2 linked regions of the Callithrix jacchus genome follow. The protein of the gene in region 1 purifies or fractionates together with the protein of each later gene. This does not show direct contact. Links are inferred from orthologs where the notes say so. Each region holds a gene or a part of one and is shown on either strand. Other genes may lie near its edges.

Region 1 (9,562 bases):
ACCACTGCACTCCAGCCTAGGGGACAGACTCAGTCTAAAACACCAAAAAAAAAAAAAAATAGGTAGGAAAAATAAAAATTAAAACCCACAGCAGTGAATTCTCACTCCTTATCAAACATCACTTACTTATTTCATTCTTTAATATGTCCTAAAATGTTTATGAAACAAATATGAGAAGTTATTTCCTCATTACTCAAAATCAAAAACCATTTCTTCAACTGGCAGTTATAACCTACTAGATACTTCCGGGCTTAACTAACTCTCTTTCATTAAAAACATCATAGGAGGCCGGGCGCGGTGGCTCACGCCTGTAATCCCAGCACTTTGGGAGGCCAACGCAGGTGGATCATGAGGTCAAGAGATCAAGACCATCCTGGCCAACATGGTGAAACCCCATCTCTACTAAAAATACAAAAAAATTAGCTGCGCATGGTGGCGTGCACCTGTAGTCCCAGCTACTCAGGAGGCTGAGGCAGGAGAATTGCTTGAACCCAGGAGGCGGAGGTTGCGGTGAGCCGAGATCGCACCATTGCACTCCAGCCTGGGTAACAAGAAAAAAAAAAAAAAAACATAGTAATTGGCCAGGCTCAGTGGCTCACATCTGTAATCCCAACACTTTGGGAAGTCGAGGCAGGTGGATCATTTGAGGTCAGGAGTTCAAGACCAGCCTGGTCAACATGGTGAAACCCCGTCTCTAGTAAAAATGCACAATTACTTTCCTCAGCTGACACCAAAGTGCTCAGTTCTTCAGAGGAAGTTAAGGCCGCATTGGGGTGAGACCCTCCTTCATCCGGCGACTAGCACCACGTCCGGCAGCGCTAGCCCCACACTCACCCGCACCATGGCCTCCGTCTCCGAGCTCACCTGCATCTACTCGGCCCTCATTCCGCATGACGATGAGGTGACCGTCACAGAGGATAAGATCAATGCCCTCATTAAAGCAGCCCGTGTAAATGTTGAACCTTTTTGGCCTGGCTTGTTTGCAAAGGCCCTGGCCAATGTCAACACTGGGAGCCTCATCTGCAACGAAGGGGCTGGTGGGTCTGCTCCAGCAGCTGGTGCTGCACCAGCAGGAGGTCCTGCCCTCTCCACTGCTGCTGCTCCGGCTGAGGAGAAGAAAGTAGAAGCAAAGAAAGAAGAATCCGAGGAGTCTGATGATGATATGGGCTTTGGTCTTTTTGACTAAACCTCTTTTATAATGTGTTCAATAAAAACCTAAACTTAAAAAAAAAAAAAAAAAATGCAGAATTAGCCGGACATGGTAGCATGCCTGTAATCCCAGCTATTCGGAAGACTGAGGCAGGAGAACTGCTTGAACCCGGGAGGCGGAGGTTGGAGTGAGCCAAGGTCGCACCATTGCACTCCAGCCTGGGCAATGAGAGCAAAACCCCAAAACAAAAAAAATAAAATAAATAGCTAGGTGGTAGTGGAGCACACCTGTAATCCCAGCTACCCAGAAAGATGAAGCAGGAGAATCGCTTGAGCCTAAGAGGCAGAAGATGGGGTGAACTGAGATTGCCCAGTCTGGGTGAGAGTAAAACCCTAACTCAAAAAAATATATTTTAAAAATAATAGGGCCAGGCGCGGTGGCTCACGCCTGTAATCCCAGCACTTTGGGAGGCCGAGGCGGGTGGATCACGAGGTCAAGAGATCGAGACCATCCTGGTCAACATGGTGAAACCCCGTCTCTACTAAAAATACAAAAAAAATTACCTGGGCATGGTGGCACGTGCCTGTAATCCCAGCTACTCAGGAGGCTGAGGCAGGAGAATTGCCTGAACCCAGGAGGCAGAGGTTGCGGTGAGCCGAGATCGTGCCATTGCACTCCAGCCTGGGTAACAAGAGCGAAACTCCGTCTCAAAAAAAAAAAAAAACTGGAACGATGCAGAAGATTAGCACGGCCCCTGCGTAAGGATGACATGGAAATTAATGAAGCAGTTCCATATTTAAATAAAAAAATTTTTTTAGAAAAAAAAAAACAACTTACTTCTCAACTAGGACGTCTCCAAGAACATGAAAAAGATCAACCATGATTTATGTCCATACAAAAACATAGGATTCTGACAAAACACCTCATTAATATCAATACAAGGAACGCATCAATTTTTCCTAGTTGACTTATCCAGAAAATCATTTTTTCTAGGTAGGCGTCATTTTTCTATTCCTACATCATCGTTTCTAACATATTCTTGTTTTCACCAACTTTGCTTTTCGTCTCATTAACCTCTTTTTAAGTCTGAGATTCTCAAGTTCTATTCATCAAGTACAGCATTTGCCAAATCCTGCCACTCTTCTTACTCGCTAAAAAGCCTGCAGTTACCCGCCTCTCACCACAAGGTGGTGTCCTGGACAAATTTAAACAAACCGATTTTGAACAGAATCATTTCTCAGAAAATAAAAGTTTTAAAAATGTTTTTTTAAAATCCTGTTAATCCAGTGTCTAACCTGGATGCAAATAAATATTAAAAAGTAAAAATCCTGTCAAAACATCAACTCACAAAGACTGACTATATTCTCTTATTCCTCAACAGATACGCGTAAGCAATAGCCAATACAGAAGCTGACCTTTACTGCTGACCACAGTAAGGCGTTGTCTGTGCGGTCAGGCGGGTTACACTCAGTCCACAGCGACATGTTCAGGATGACTAAAAATACCTGCCCAAGTTTTAAAGTGCCCTCTTGTTAAAAAATCTTTTAAAATGACAACAAAAAAAGTAAATAAATACATGACAGCTGGAAGCGGGGGCTCACGCCTGTAATCCGAGCACTTTGGGAGGCCAAGACAGTGCATCACCTGAGGTCAGGAGTTTGAGAGCAGCCTGGCCAACATGGGAAAACCCCATCTCTACTACAAATACAAAAATTAGCCGGGTGTGATGGCGGGTGCCTGTAAATCCCAGCTACTCCGGAGGCTGAGGTGGGAGAATCCCTTGAGCCTGGGAGGGGGAGGGTGCAGTGAGCCAAGATGGCGCCACTGTACTCCAGCCTGGGCAACAAGAACGAAACTCCATCTCAAAAATAAAAAAGGTGCAAACAGACCATCCCACCCCATACCCCAAACCTGGATTTGCGTTATCTTCCTTGAAAACTGATGGGGGTGACGGGTACCACTGTCATTTGAAACTGTCCAGAGTTAATACAAGGGACTAAGTGCTTGCTTAAAAACACAAGCTAACGTATGCCACTCAGTTACAGGTATCACACTGTAATACCATAGCCGTATCTTAGTCTGTACAATATTCAACAACACTCCCCAGTGTTCCAAAAAAAACTGCCCTACAGCCAGAATTACTTCCCAAACCTAACACTTTCATATCCAGAATAAATTTTTAAATACTGACGTTTTGAAGAGGGTTCTGAACTCATCCCAATTTTTTTGGTTTGTTTTCGTTTTCTGAGACGGAGTTTTGCTCTCGTTGCCCAGGCTGGAACGCAACGGCACGATCTCAGCTGACTGCAACCTCCGCCTCCCAAGTTCAAGCGATTCTCCCGCCTCAGCCGCCCGTGTAGTTGGGATTACAGGTATACGCCACCACACCCCGCTAATTATTTGTATTTTAGGTATTGATGGAGTTTCCCCATGTTGGTCAGGCTGATAAAACTCCGGGCCTCAGGTTATCTGTCCGCCTCGGCCTCCCAAAGTACTGGGATTACAGGCGTGAACCTACATGTCCGACCTTCAAATATTTTAGAAGTTTTGCCCTCTGAAATTCCCAACTTTCTTACCTTCCACAGCAGACTAAACCTAGTTGGGCATTTTTCAAAAGCTTCTCAACCTTTTATTCTCCCACTTCCTGTCAAGTCTCCACATGTACCAATTGAAGGCAACGTAATTCCCAAATTTCACATTCGACATAATCCATAAAAACGCACAGCTCATTACGCTGTGTATAAAAAGCATTCATCCTTTTATCACAAAAGGCAGAAAGAAATGTGAAAGCACCAACTCCAAGGAAGCTTAAGGCTCTCAAGAGTGTAAACAATGAAGGCTAGAGTCTGCGGGACGCGGTGACTCACGCCTGTAATCCCAGCACTTTGGGAGGCTGAGGCAGGCAGATCACTTGAGACCAGGAGTTCGAGACCAGCCTGACCAACATAGAGAACCTCCGTCTCCACTAAAAATACAAAAATAGCTTGGGCGTGGTAGTGCATGCCTGTGATCCCAGCTACTCCGGAGGCTGAGGCGGGAGAATTGCTTCAATCCGGGAGGCGGAGGTTGCGGTGAGTCGAGATCGTGCCACAGCACTCCAGCCTGAACAAAAAGAGCAAAACTCCGTCTCAAAAATAAAATAAAAACGATGAGAACTACAAAGAGCGCCGCTCAGCCTACTCTTCCCAAACAGGCTGAAGCCTCCGGGCTCACAGGCAGCAACCCTTCGTTGCTGGCACGGTCCTTCTACTCAGGCTGTTTCCTGCCTCGTTTATGAGGAAATTAGTAATGAAGTTTACATCTGACTAGCAAATCCATCCTTTAAAAAATGCGCCGGCACCAAAACCTTTTTCGAGCCAACACATGGTCTGCAGTTTACACTCGGCGTGTCACTGACCTCCTAGTTGGGTAAGTTTTAGTATAAACTTGGATGAACTTGAGCCGCATGAGCCACGGTACAGCTTCTTTAAGGCAGAGTAGAGCGGCGTTCAGAGTAAGAAACAGCCCGCTCATCCACAAACTTCTGACCACCCTTCGCGATTCCCAGGAACAGCGCTCTGCAGTCCACCACCTGCTCCCTTCTCCCTCCGAACTTGGCGGCGTGGACACGCATTCCTGCTCCGCCGGCCACTCGCGTTTCTGGTTTCAGACTCCAAGTGCGGGAGGCTTAGGAAAAGCAAGCGCTCCACGCCTCCCACGGTGCCCGCCCCCGGCCCCCCGGGCCCCAGCCGGCCGCTCCCAGGCCCAAGCCCCACCCCCACCCCCGACCGCCGCCGCGGAGGCCGGGCCGCGCTCCAGCAAGGACGCCGGGCGGGGAGGACGCGGCCGGGCGGCACCAGACCCCAGCCCCAACCCCAACCCCAGCCCCAGAGGACCCCACCCACCCTTCGCCCCGCGACCCGGGCCACGGCCCCCCCGCCCCGCCCAGCCCTAGTCCGGCCGGCGACCCCGGTCACCCCCCGCACGCTGTTGCGAGGCGCCGGGTCAGGTCCGCCGTCTGCCGGCTGCGCGCGGGGCCCTCGGCCGACCTTCCCTGACCCTCGGAGTAGACGCTCACCGAGGACGAAGGCGACCGGTGGCGGGACGCAGGGGAGGTGGGGGTGACGGCCCGAATCTCCTCAGGGCTCCAGCACTACTGCGCTGGTGGCGGCGGCTCCTCGCGCTTTCCTTTCTCTCCTTTCTCCAACAACAAACAGGAAATGCGTCACGCGGCGGCGGCACAGCATCGTCAACTTCCGCCCGGTCCTGACGCCGCGCATGCGCAGTTTCCACTGCCCATACCGCGGGCTCGGTGTCGGGGCGCCCGCCCCACCTTCGCGAAGGTTCTAGGCCCTTCCGCCGCCACTTGGAGGCCAGGAAGCTGGGGGTGAGGGGGCGGAGCTCGAGACCGCGTCTACGGTACCCGAGAACCCAGACGTGCCGAAAGCGCCGTAGCCAATGGGCGGCCTACTCCAGGGAGGCCGAGAAGACTCCACGAGGGATTGATCGTTGTGGGCGAGAAGGAACCGGTTCTGGAAACCGCGAACTCCTCGCGCCCTTCACCTTCCTCTTGGCCCCGCCTCTCGCCCGCGGCCCCCCTGTGGAGCTGCGTGGCCTCTCCCCACAGCGGGACGAAAGCTGGGGCGCGGGCTGAGAACAGCCGAGAGCGCGCCTTCCAGCCTGGGCGACAGGGCGAGACTGTGTCTCAAAAAAAAAAAAAAGCTTCCAAAAAGGCTGGGTCAACATCACTGGTTTAAAAATGGCAGCAAGAGGGCCGGGCGCGGTGGCTCAGGCCTGAAACCACAGCACTTTGAAAGGCCGAGGCTGGCAGATCACCTAAGGTCGAGAGTTCAAGACTAGCCTGGCCAACATAATGAAACCCCCGTCTCTAAAATACAGAGATGACCCGGGCCTGGTGGCGCACACCTGTAATCCTAGCTACTCGAGAGGCTGAAGCAGGAGAACCGCTTGAACCCGTGAGGTTGAGGTTGCTTTGAGCCGATATCACGCTATTACACTCTTGCCTGGGAGACAAGAGCAAAACTGTCAGGCCGGGCGCAGTGGCTCACGCCTGTAACCCCAGCACTTTGGGAGGCCGAGGCGGGCGGATCACTTGAGGCCAGAAGTTCGAGACCAGCCTGGCCAACATGCTGAAACCCCGTCTTTTTAAAAAGAAAAGAAAAGAAACCCGGGCGCGGTGGCTCACACCTGTAATCCCAGCACTTTGGGAGGCCGAGGCGGGTGGATCACGAGGTCAAGAGATCGAGACCATCCTGGTCAACATGGTGAAACCCCGTCTCTACTAAAAATACAAAAAATTAGCTGGGCATGGTGGCGCGTGCCTGTAATCCCAGCTACTCAGGAGGCTGAGGCAGGAGAATTGCCTGAACCCAGGAGGCGGAGGTTGCGGTGAGCCGAGATCGCGCCATTGCACTCCAGGCTGGGTAAGAAGAGCAAAACTCCGTCTCAGAAAAAAAAAAGGAGCAAAACTGTCTGAAAACTAAAAACAAATAAGGCAGTGAGAGCGCCGGGCGCGATGGCGCATGCGTATAATCCCCGCACTTGGAAGGCAGATGCTTGAGGAGGAAAAAAACCAAGCAGAGGCCCGGGAAGACAAGTCCCCGCTCCCCAATTTAAGGAAGCCCAGTCACCCTGAGTTCCCCGGCGAACCGGAGAGCGTGAAGACTTCGCCAAGTAATGATGACAGAAGGAAACTGTGGCCGAAAATACAGATGAGGTTTTTTAGATTAAATCGTGACAGTAGTTTCCTGAAAACGCAGAGCATTTTGATCGCTGGACTTTAGGTCAGCCCCAGGCCCTCTAGTCTTTCCCGCGTCCTCATGCGTTCTGGTTCTAACCCTGGAGATCAACACAACACGCGTGGAGACGACCCCGTGCGGTCAGACTCGTTTCCAGTAGCGAACGGGTGCAGTCGACCCACAGCCTAAGGAGGCAGACAAGCAGTTATGCACTGGAGCCTGGCCCGCGTCTCCCAGTCTTCCTCTCCAGCATTGAGCCAGATGCTTGCTACTGTGTTGTCTTGGTCCCCGCCCACCTTGTACTTTCCTTTAAGACATAAAAATCCCTTTTTGTCACGCCTTTCCTGATCCTGTGATGTGCTGACACTGAATTCTAGGGACCTGCTCAGCCACCTTCTCAACTAACAACGGTGATGAGTTCTTGATCACTTAAAGCCTGGGGTATATTCAAGTAAAAGGCCCTTTAGCACTTGAATAACTTGTAGTTTATTAGAACTGTTAGTAATGAAAGAGTTCAAGAAATGCCACCCCGAATTATGCCACGTTAGGGTACTGATTAATAACTAGTACACTGAGTACCAAGTTAGTATGCCATCGATCCGAGGGCATATGGGGACCTGCCAAGGCAGGGAGGGGCATTCTCTGAATTCCCCTTAACCACATAAAGATAGATCATCCCAAAGGAACTCAATTGTCTTGACCCCCTTCCTGGAAATCTCAGCCACAGGGAAGAAAGAACCGGTATCACCAGACAAGAGTGCCAAGGGACCTCAGCTCCATGCCCAGACAGACTTTGCCACAGGCCCCCACCGATTCTTCGGAAGGCAAAACTCATGAGCTGCAGATCTCACTGGATTCTGGGTTGCCCTAGTATGCGTTGTAAATTTGTATACTTTTTCTCTTGTCAATCTGTCTACTGTCAGCTTAGCTCAGAGACTCCGTTATCAAACCCTCAGAGACCGGAGGGAAAATTTCCCCTCTACAGCTCCTTCATTTTAGACAACTGGAACACTTGGTTAATGGCTCTAATTTTTATACTTCAAAATGAAAGATTGCTTTATATTTTCTATTCTTTTTTTTTCTTTTGAGACAGGATCTTGCTCTGTCATTCAGGCTGGGGTGCAGTGGTTCAGTCATGACCCGCTGCAGCCTTGACCTCCTGGGCTCAAGCGGTCCTCTTGCCTCAGCTTCCCAAAGTGCTGGGATTACCGGTGTGAGCCACTGTGCCAGGTCATTTTTCATATTTCTTAAACTTTGTGTTACCGCATGTCATTTCTAGCAGATGATCAGTTAGCAAAGGAAAATCTGACTTGATTCTCTATTCTATTTTTTTTTTTTTTGAGACTGAGTTGGAGTGCAGTGGCATGATCTCAGCTCACTGCAACCTTCAGCTCCCAGGTTTAGGTGATTCTCCTGTCTCACCCTCCTGAATAGCTGGGATTACAGGCATGAGCCACTATGCCTGCCTAATTTTTTGTATTTTTAGTAGAGGTGAAGTTTCACCATGTTAGCCAGGCTGGTCTCCAACTCCTGACTTTAAGTGATCCAGCCACCTCCGCCTCCCAAAGTGCTGAGATTACAGGCGTGAGCCACCGAGCCCAGCCTCTATTCTCTTTTTTTAATTATTATTATAAAGACAGGTTTTCTTTTTAATTTCTTTTATAATTATTATTATAAAGACCATGTTGGTCAGGCTGGTCGTGAACTCCCGACCTCAGGTGATCTGCCCACCTTGGCCTCCAAAGTGTTTGGATTACAGATGTGAGCCACCATGCCCAGCCTATTCTCTCTTTTTTTTTTTTTTTTTACTGGTTATACAAATGGTCAAAAGGAAGAAATAGCACAGTATTTTGTGTTAGTATGGGCATCTCATAATAAAACGTAAAGTAATCTCAGCAAAGACTGGAATTTCAGATATGTGCGCAGCTTGGCACTGTCACATGTAACCTATCTGCTAGGAGGTCGATGGAGGTTTATTTCCATCTCAGTGTTGACAGACAGTACTGTCATGGGATGTTTTACCTTTAATAAGTCCCTACAGCAGTTGTGAGCTAATCTTGAAATGCAGACAGCACAGACATGAATTTTACATTGTAAGTGGCAGGCTAGCCACAAATAGCTTTTTCTTCCCCCTTCAAAAAAGGAATATATGTATTTCTTGTTATTAAAATATGTATCAGGCTGATCGCAGTGGTGCACACCTGTAATCCCAGCACTTCAGGAGGCTGAGGCAGGAGGACTCCTTGACCTAGGAATTCCTCAGCCTGGGTAACACCACAAGACCGATTTTTGTATTTTTAGTAGAGACAGGTTTTCACCAGGTTGATGAGGCTAGTCTTGACCTCCTGACCTCAGGTGATCTACCCACCTCTGCCTCTCTCTCTCTCTCTTTTTTTTTTTTTTTTAAGAGATGGGGTTTCACCATGTTGGCCAGGCTGGCCTCGAACGCCTGACCTCAGGTGATCCACCCACTTCAGCCTCCCATCTCTACCAAAAAAAAAATTTCTGGCCAGGCGCCATGGCTCACGCTTGTAATCCCAACACTTTGGGAGGCCGAGGGAGGCTGATCATAAGATCAGGAGTTCGAGAGCAGCCTAACCAACATGGTGAAACCCTGTCTCTACTAAAAATACAAAATTAGCCAGGCGTGGTGGTGCATGCCTATAGTCCCAGC
Region 2 (9,793 bases), on another chromosome or scaffold:
TGGACAGGGCTACGGCCCCTCAATGGGGGCTCTGAGGAAGAGGTGGGCAAAGATCCAGGGTAGCCGAGGGATGGAGGAGGCCCCTAAACCCAGAGCTCACCCCAAAAGACCCTTCAATGCATGGCAGGAGTAGAATGGGAAAGGTGAGGGTGTTTCATTTGAAGACGGAGTGGCAGAATGAAAAATCAAGTTAGTAGATGCAGAGGCGGACTCATCATGGTAAGGGGATTAAAGAAGGAAAGGAAAAAGGAGGGAAAGGGTGCAGTGAAAGGTTCTCCCTGAGACCCCCAGGGAGAGGTGGGGGCCGGCTTGCCTGTTAATTTACTATTAAATTGGGGATGGGATTCAGAGAGGAAAAAGTTATTTCAGGGGATGATTTCTCAGCCTCTCAGCCTGTACCTGGAGGGAGAAAGAGAGAGGAACACAAGTCAAAAGGAAGAAAAAACTTATACACAGGCCAGGAGTTGGGTTTAATCCCGATTCCAGTGAGAACATTGTTCTCTTTCCAGCCAACTAAGACTTGTACTGTCAAACGCAGCTCCTCTGGGAGCCCAGGCTGCGCCTGCCTCGTGGCAGAAGACCATCTGCAGGTGCACTCCCGCCCTCCTTACCCTGATACTTACAAGAAAGGCTGAGGGCCCAGGGCCCTCACCAGTCATAGCGGCGGGACTGTCGGGAAGGGGAGTCCTCAGGTCCTTGGATGGCCAGGCGGGGTGGTCCCTCCGCCCTTCGTCCCCCCACCCCTGAGGACTCAAGCCGTCGAAACTCCAGGGGGCGCTGCTGCCGGAATCGGGACGTCTCCCGCCGCCACTCGTCATCAAACGCTGCGGCCTCACCTGGAGAAGACAGAGTGGACATGAGGCCTGTGTGCAGCCTCACTCCTGGAGGCCGATGTGCGAGCCAGCCACAGCTTCTCTGGCCAAAGCCGTGAAGGCTGAGTGTGTGTGCATGGCGGCAATTCCATTAGCTCTTTTGGTTTCTACATGGTCCCGGGAAGCCACTGGTAGGCCTAAGGTGGCCTACTGGAGGAAGAAATCAGAATATTATTCTTCAGGTTCATAGTCCTACGTGCACACTAGGTACTTAATAACTGTGGATTTGAAAAAGATAAAGAGAGGAGAAAGAAAAAAACGGATCCAAATGGAGAAGGGTGTAACCCTATCAACACGGAACCTCAGGGACAAAGTCAGCCCCTCACAGTGAGGACACTGCCAGCACCTGACTCAGCCCCGTCTGACACAGCCCCTGAGCTGAGGAGGTTCCAAATGCAGTAAGAATATGGGCCTACAGCTGGGCATGGTGGCTCCTGCCTGTAATCCCAGGACTTTAGGAGGCCGAGGCAGGTGGATCACCTGAGGTCAGGAGTTTGAGACCAGCCTGGTCAACATGGTGAAATGCTGTCTCTACTAAAAATATAGAAATTAGCTGGGCGTGTGGTGCGTGCCTGTAATCCCAGCTACTTGGAAGGTTGAGGCAGAATTGCTTAAACCCAGGAGGAGGAGGTTGCACTGAGCTGAAATCATGCCATTGCACTGCAGCCTGGACACCTGGGCAACAAGAGTGAGACTCCATCTCAAAAAAAAAAAAGAAAAGAAAGCAAAAGAATATGGGGTTGACCCAGAGCTTTGCCCAGAAGTTTATGGGGTAGGGAAGTCTCCTACTAGGGAATGCCAGCCAGGAAGTGGGAGGGAAGGCTCACTCTCATCCAGGTTGATATAGTCCTGCCGCTCCTCCTGGTCCCCTGTGCGATGGTTTCGGGAGCGCTGGAGGATGTGAGCCCTGTCCCGGATGTGATGCCCGATGGACATCTGTTCCAGTCCACTGTCTGAATCCCGAACAGTCCTCCGTGTCTCCCGGATCTGGGATGAGGCAGAACATGGTACACTCAGCCACCCCTTCCAAAGCCCTGGCCATCTCAGGATAAACACACCACCCACAACCCAATCCGAAAAAAGCAGCCAGGGTTTCTGTGAGTGCCACTCAATCCCAAGTTCTCTGGGATAGGAGGGCTCACCCCGCCTGGTGCCGAGCGCATCTCTGATGTCTCTTGGTAAACCTTGGGGGCACCATCGCCGGTATTGGAGTAGGAGATGACAGTAGAAGATGAGAAGGTCTGGCAATTGCCTCCAGCTGTCATGTGTTCCTAAGGACAGGGTAGGTAGGGGAGGGCTGAATGAGGAGGCACTTCCCCCCTGGTGAAGGATTTCACCCTTCAGCTCCCTGTTCTAGCCTGTATCTTTCTCACAAAATGTAACAACTGAAAAAACATCAGGACTCATTTTACCCTCCCAAATTCCTCTCAGTCCAATCACAGTCAAGAAGGACCTGAAGAGACAGAGACTTAATTGTATGCTACATAAAAGTGCTGCTGCTGCTTCAGGCAGGCATGACAGCAGATACACGGTCCCCAAGGCTCTCTGCTTCAATTACTTTATCCAGTACTTTACCCTTCACTAGCATTCTGTCTCCCTCTTGCCTTAGAGGGTTCAAGGTGTTGTCAGCCATCACTGAGAGCAAGGCCAGGGAAGGGTGTGGGGCAAGGCTCACCATGTTACCAATCATGTCGTTCATCATCCCAAACATGTCCATGAAGCCACCGGACTGGAGGAAAGAGATGGAACATAGTCAGGAAAGCAAAGTCAGTGTTCAGAGCTGATCCTGTTTAGGAACCCACGAGCCACATGGCTGCACATTTCATCTTCCTTCACATCTAGCAAGTAGTCTTTCTCATTCTCCCTTAACAGAACCAGAATACTCATGTTTCTCCTCCAGTAAGCTGCTGACCCCTCCTCAGTCTCTATGACTGCTCGGATTCAATTTTCCTTTTCCTGCCTTCTGTATTCCCCCCGATCTTTAGGAAGCAAGCCAAAGTTAATGGATTCTAAACTCTAAAGAGATAAGGCAAAGACCAGATTTTGCTAGACAATTACATCTTCCTAATGAGTATGAACTTCTAGGAGTACAAGAGTTAATAACATCTTTTCTTTTTTTTTTTTGAGATGGAGTCTGGCTCTGTTGCCCAGGCTGGTGTGCAGTGGTGAAGTCTCAGCTCTCCGCAACCTCTGTCTCCTGGGTGCAAGCGATTCTCAGCCTCCAGCATAGCTGGGACTACAGGCATGCACCACCATGCCTGGCTTTTTTGGTATTTTTAGTAGAGACGAGGTTTCACCATGTTGGCCAGTCTGGTCTCAAACTCCTGACCTCAAGTTATCAGCCGTCTCAGCCTCCCAACCAGACTTAGTAACACCTTTCGCCAGGTACAGTGGCCTACACCTGTAATCCCAGCACTCACGCCTATAATCCCAGCATTCTGGGAGGCTGAGGCGGGCGGATCACTTGAGGTCAGGAGTTCAAGACCAGCCTGGCCAACATGGTGAAACCCTGTCTCTACTAAAAATACAAAAAAGGGGCATGGTGGCTCTGCCTGTAATCACAGCTACTCAGAGGGCTGAGGCACGAGAATCACTTGAACCTGGGAGGTGGAGGTTGCAGTGAGCTGAGATCATGCCACTGCACTCCACCCTGGGTGACAGGGCAAGATGCTGTCTCAAAAAAAAAAATAATAAAAATAACACCTTTAATCCACAGGGCTCCTAGCATCTAAAAGGCTCAGAGCTTTGTGAACATCATGAAAAGAAGATTCTGGGGTTACCCATGAAACTATGCCAAAGAGGCAAATTTGGGAATAATATCTAAGGGTAGAGAGTGTGTGTGAAATGGAAGGCCCAAGGGAGATGAGGACTCACCATTCCCAGCATCCCAAAGGGGGAGACAGCTCCAGTCTACAGGAACACATGAGGAACAGAAATTAGAGACTTCATCCTATCTCCTTACAATCCCAAACCAGGCCCATGGCCTCAATTTTTGTTTTCCATCCTCTCGAAAGGGAGTCATAAAGCTCTTTTTCCTGACCCTTTCCCCCACTCCTAGAGCATTTCACTTGTTCAGTTAGCTGTAGGGCAAGAAAACTAATGTGCCTTCCTAACCACCCTCCAACCTTTGGGTCTCAGGTGTGTCTCAGCACCATTACCTGCTGCATCCTGCGGCTGGCAGGCCTGGTCCCTGGCATGTTGCCATCTGTGATGCTGAGGAAGGGGCTATATCCAAAGCCACCTGACAACATACGGCTCATATGCTGACGGTGAATAGCAAAGGGGTCCCTGTGAAGTGAGCACATAGTATGGATGGCAGAAGCACCAAGCTGTCAATCCCTCCACCACCCTGCAAAAAAATACGCACAGGGCAACAGTGGCACCAATAGGCTACTTCCTGCTAGGGGGGAGCTGGGTATCCAACCAGTTCCAACCATTCCCAGCAATGGGAACCCAGATGTCTGCCTTAACTGCTCAGAGACCTGGAGTGGGAGAGCTTGAGGGGGAGGGAATACTCACATCAGGAACATGGGATCCTCAGGCTCCACATCCCTCATGAAGCGGAACATCCTGATCTCAGCTCCGGGGAGCTCCACACTGGAAAGGTGTGGAGGCTCAGGTACGTGGAGGTGGCCAGGCTTTTGCACACCCACTCAGTGTAAGGACTCTCCGCACTGGCCTTTCCCAAACCTTGTAACTGACCCTCTAAACTCCGGGGAGACCCTACTACAGGTGTTCCACACAACCCTCTAGGGAGAGAAGAGCTCTTCAAACCTCTCTCTCAATTAGGGCCATGGAAAATTTTTCCAAGCCTCTGGGTTTCTCCCTCCCCCACTCAGTCATCCTCTTCCCAAAGCTCTGGCCGGTTGCATACTCTCCCCTCCTCCCCCAACGTCACCGTTCTAGATAAGAATCCTAAGTGCCGGTCCTCCGTCCCATTAATGACCCCAGTCACCCGCCCCCTCCTTATACCCAGGCCTCCCCCAGGCAGGCCTCACTGTGCCCCCAGCGCCCGTCTGCGGCTCGCCCAGCTCCCGCCTCCCCGGCAGGCGGGCAGGAGAGGTAGGCCTGAGCCTCTCCTCTCCCGGCCCCGCATCCCCGGCTTCCAGACCCTGCAACCCCGCGGGCCCGCTCCCGTCCCTGGCTGCCCGCTCTGCCGGAGCCTCACCAGTGCCCGATTCGGGCTCAGCGGCCCATCCGGCCGGTTTCGCTTCCCGGTGCGCTGCAGGGTCAGGATCGCGGCCCGGGACGCGGGGATTGGTCCGAGCTCGAGCTCTGCGGCCTCCCGCGCCGCCTCTTCCCACAGCTGCCACCTCCGTACCACCCCTCGGCCTACGGAGCAAGAACCTCGGCCAGGCCCGGGCGGAAGTGACGTCATCGTGCAACCGCCCACCCGGGGCCGGGCCGTGGGAGCCCCGCCCACTGGCGTGGGTGGTGAGAAGCCTGTGGCCGCGTCCCAGGGGCGGCGGGGCCGGGGGCTTGGGGCCAAACTCAGGGGAGCGGAGCCTGAGTCCGGGCGGGGGTTCCCTTTGCACGAGTAAGGGGAGCTCATTAGTAACCTGGATTTGGGTTCTGTGCACTGGAAGAGGCTCCCAAAGGCTCGGGGGGAAGGAGAAGAGGAATCTATTCCTCGGGAGGGACCGAGTTGGGGGTTGAACTTGGGGGCGCAGTGCAGCACGTTCCCTCTCCTTCCTCCAGGGGAAACTGGAGGACGAGGGGCAGGCTCTCTGGGCCACCAGGCGGGGCGGATCCCTGGGGGAAGCTTTAAGCAGACTACTGGAAAAGCGTTCTACCCTGGAGGGAGGATGGGCAGCTTTCCTGCGGGTGAGGCGCTTGGGCCTGTACCCCCTTGAAGAGGAGAGTTCCTGGCAGGGCGGAGTCCCCGGAGTGACGAAGAGGAGGAGGTGAAACTCTCCAGCTCAGATCTGGTTAGGGCTTCAGAAAATCCGATGAGGCAGAGAATCCAGGTTGCGGATTGGCCGCCAGATGGCGCTCCTCGGCCAGGCTGGAACCCGAGGCCCTTGAGAACTGGCTTTGGAGAGGGACTTGGACCCTTCCCCATTACCCATCTGTGAAGGGTTGGACCGGGAAAAGGCTACAGTTCTGAAGTCTATTCGTTTAATGCCAATCTTCCCTTCCTTTTACTCTAATTCTTGCGTCCTCAAGAGCTCCCAGTCCTGCACTGACCTTTCTTGCTTGCTTTCTTAGGTCAAAGGTCTAAAGTTTTTGAGAAGAAAGGAGTGGAGAGCTCAATTAACCTGGATCACCCAGGGGAGGAGCTAAAACGGGACCCAGGAGAGCTGCCTCCAAGGCTAGAGACTGATACTTTGACATACTAAATGTCTTGCATAAATCTGGCTCTGCTGGAGAGAAGGGCCCTCCCACTTGGGGTCAAGGGATTTGGACTGTCTAGCATGGACTTTAACCAGACTCATCCAAACTCCAGCTTTCCCTGTTCTTTACTCTGGCGATTAGCCATATTAGTGCTGTGTGGAGCCTGACCCAAGGAGAAAGACTTGTTTCCAGTAATTCCCTGGGGGAGAAGGAGGGGGTCCCTGGTGACTCAGGAAAAGGTGCTAGGAACAGGGCTTCTCAGGTTTCTTTGGACTTGACCATTATTAAAGAGGAAACAACAATAATAGAGACAGGGAGCAGAGACAGATAATTAAGATCTAAGCTGGCAGGCTGTCCAGTCAAAGGAAAACAGAATACAAGTAAATTTGTTTTTCATTGCTATTTCTGGGGAAGAGACAGCAAAATATTTTATCTTCCAGATGCTCTATCTCTGGACATCCCACCATGCAACTTCCCCTTATCCTCTTCCCCAAACGAAAGCAGTTTGACATGTGAAAAGGAGTTGTTCCTAGTAAAGGTTCTGTGGCTGAAACTTAACTAAGGAGATCCTATCGACTTTTTTTTTTGGTCCTCTTCTCCTCTTAAAGCAAGTTATTTATTGTCCAGCCAATCAACAAATGTTTAAGATTGGCCACGGTGCCTCATGCCTGTAATCACAGCACTTTGGGACGCTGAGGCAGGCGGATCACGAGGTCACAAGTTCAAGACCAGCCTGACCAACAAGGTGAAACCCCGTCTCTACTAAAAATTAGCTGGGCGTGGTGGCACACACATGTAATCCCAGCTACTTAGGAGGCTGAGGCAGGAGAATTGCTTGAACCTGGGTCGCAGAGGCTGCAGTGAGGTAATCATGCCGCTGCACTCCAGCCTGAGTGACAGAGTGAGACTCTGTCTCAAAAAAAAAATTAGCAGGCACCTGTATCCCAGCCATTTGAAAGGCTGAGGCAGGAGAATCACTTGAACCTGGGAGATGGAGGCTGCAGTGAGCCAAGATCACACCACTGCACTCCAGCCTGGGGGATAAAGTGAGACTGTCTCCAAAAAGATAAAAAATAAAAATAAAAAAAGAAAGTTTAATGAGGCTCAGCACTGTCCTAGGTACACTGTATTACGCATACATACAAAAGTATAAGACACAGTCTACCAATTTTTTTTTTTTTTTGAGACAGAGTTTCGCTCTTGTTACCCAGACTGGAGTGCAATGGCACGATCTTGGCTCACCGCGACCTCCGCCTCCTGGGTTCAAGCAATTCTCCTGCCTCAGCCTCCCGAGTAGCTGGGACTACAGGTGCACACCACCATGCCCGGCTAATTTTTGTATTTTTAGTAGAGACAGGGTTTCACCTTGTTTATCAGGATGGTCTCGATCTCTTGACCTCATGATCTACCCGCCTTGGCCTCCCAAAGTGCTGGGATTATAGGCGTGAGCCACCGCGCCCGACCAGTCTCTACCAATTTAAGGCATACAATCTTCTAGCCACCTTTTTCTTTTTTGGTTACCTGTTATTTATTTATTTTTTTTTTTTTGAGACCTCACCATTGCATACCAGCCTGGGTGCCAAGAGTGAAACTGTCTCAAAAAAAAAAAAAAAAAAAAAAAAAAATCTGCCATCAGCGATGTTTACCTTTGAATGGTTTCAAATCATAGTTAGTTTCTAACTATGAAAAACAAAGCTTAAAACCTAGGTTTTGTCCCAGATTAAAAAGAAATTGTTGGCTAGGTGCGGTAGCTCACACCTGTAATCCCAGCACTTCGGGAGGTGGAGGTGGGCCAATCACTTGAGGTCAGGAGTTCCAGACCAGCCTGGCCAACATGTCGAAACCCAGTCTCTACTAAATACACACAAAACATTAGCAGGGCATGGAGGCATGTGCCTATAGTCCCAGATACTTGGGAGGCTGAGGCAGGAGAATCACTTGGACCTAGGTGGCAGAGGTTGCAGTGAGCTGAGATCTTGCCATCGCACTCTAGCCTGGGCAACAGAGCAAGACTCCGTCTCAATAAAAAAAGAAAGAAATTGTTGATCAGGCACAGTGACTCACACCTGTAATTCCAACACTTTGGGAGGCCAAGGCAGGAGGCTCGTTTGAGTCCTGAGTTGGAGACCAGCTTGGGCAACATAGTGAGACCTCATCTTTGCAGTAAAAAAATTAGCCAGATGTGATGGTGTGTGCTTATAGTCCCAGTGACTCAGGGTTGAGTGGGGAGGATTGCTGGAGCCATGATCACACCTCTGCACTCCAGCCTGGGTGAGAGCAAGGCCCTGTCTCTCAAAAAGAAAAAGAAAGAAAGAAAAACTCTTGAACAGGTGAGAATGAAAGAGGAAATGCAAGAGCTCATTGTCAGAGTTCTTGAAGACATACCATATAGACAGGTGTCTACTCCAGGAATTGAAGGGATGGAATTTTGCAAGTAACCAGAGTTTTTGTCTGTCTTCCTTCTCCCTGTCTTTCCCTCTCCTTCATTTCCTTTCCTCTCCTCTCCTTCACTGTCTTCCTGTCTCCCTTCTTCCCTCTTCTTCCCCTCTCTTTTTCTTTCTCCCTCTTTCCCTCCCTCCCTCTCTCCCTCTTTCCCTCCCTCCCTCTCTCCCGCTCATTCCCTCCCTCCCTCTTTCCCTCTCTCCCTCTCTCTTTCCCTCCCTCCCTCTTTCTTTCCCTCCCTTCCTGTCTCTCTCTTTCTTTTTCTCTCTTCCTTTCTCTTTCCTTCCTTTCTGTCCAGTGAACGGTGGTGAACAGTGTCCCATAGGTAAGATGTAGAAGGGAGAGTAGGCCCTGTCAGGGGTGAGGCTCAATATAAGACAGATAAGGATTGTTGGAAAGGAAGAGAAACAAAGTTCCTACATTCACTATTCTATCTGATGGAGCCAAAGTCAGGAAGTCCTTGAGAGGGTACAGCTGGGCCAGAAAAGGGGCTCTCTCTTCAGATGTGAGGTCATGCCTCTGGAGCAATCCCAGGGCAGTTGGAGATTACAGCACAGGGAGGGTGAAGGAGTGACAAGGGAATGAGGGGAGACTGGGTTTCCTGCCTGAGCAGCATGAACGGGTGTGGCTGAGTGTGTGTGGATGTGATGTGCATGTGTGTTGGGAGAGAGAGAGAAACGATAAAAAGCAACTCAAACGTGCCCCAGGTAGAGAGAGGGGATGCTGACTCAGAGTGAAATGAAAAGGGACTTTTTTTTAAAGTCAGCTTTTCAGCTTTTTTTTTTTTTTTTGAGATGGAGTTCGCTCTTGTAGCCCAGGCACAATCTCAGCTCACTGCAACCTCCGCCTCCCGAGTTCAAGCAATTCTCCTGCCTCAGCTTCCCAAGTAGCTGGGATTACGGACATGTGCCACTACGTCGGGCTAATTTTGTATTTTTAGTAGAGACGGGTTTCTCCATATTGGTCAGGCTGGTCTCAAACTCCCAACCTTAGGTGATCCGCCTGCCTCAGCCTCCCAAAGTGCTGGGATTACAGGTGGAAACCACCGCACCCAGCCTTCAGCTTGTTTTTTATAGCCACATTCATTCAACAAATATATACTGAATGCCTACTGTGTGTCAAGTACTGTTCATGGTTCTGGAGAC

The links. The genes of interacting proteins can lie anywhere in the genome.
Region 2: the proteins of DNAJB6 (region 1) and MLF2 purify together in Homo sapiens (affinity purification with mass spectrometry; 3 studies listed by BioGRID and IntAct, with this or other methods). This does not show direct contact. The link is inferred for Callithrix jacchus from reciprocal best matches to the Homo sapiens genes DNAJB6 and MLF2.

Annotation. Positions count from the first base shown.
Region 1 is NC_133512.1:90,921,765-90,931,326, forward strand, and holds the start of DNAJB6 (dnaJ homolog subfamily B member 6), read right to left. Parts: upstream 5,345-9,562; 5' UTR 5,208-5,344; intron 4,811-5,207; exon of another isoform or gene 4,548-4,810; intron 4,253-4,547; 5' UTR 4,155-4,252; intron 1,950-4,154; exon of another isoform or gene 1,846-1,949; intron 1,209-1,845; exon of another isoform or gene 787-1,208; intron 1-786. UniProt on the Homo sapiens protein: Has a stimulatory effect on the ATPase activity of HSP70 in a dose-dependent and time-dependent manner and hence acts as a co-chaperone of HSP70. Plays an indispensable role in the organization of KRT8/KRT18 filaments.
Region 2 is NC_133510.1:21,020,268-21,030,060, forward strand, and holds the start of MLF2 (myeloid leukemia factor 2), read right to left. Parts: upstream 5,195-9,793; 5' UTR 5,041-5,194; intron 4,470-5,040; 5' UTR 4,442-4,469; coding exon 4,392-4,441; intron 4,161-4,391; coding exon 4,031-4,160; intron 3,783-4,030; coding exon 3,747-3,782; intron 2,602-3,746; coding exon 2,548-2,601; intron 2,144-2,547; coding exon 2,015-2,143; intron 1,860-2,014; coding exon 1,700-1,859; intron 837-1,699; coding exon 649-836; 3' UTR 624-648; intron 400-623; 3' UTR 1-399.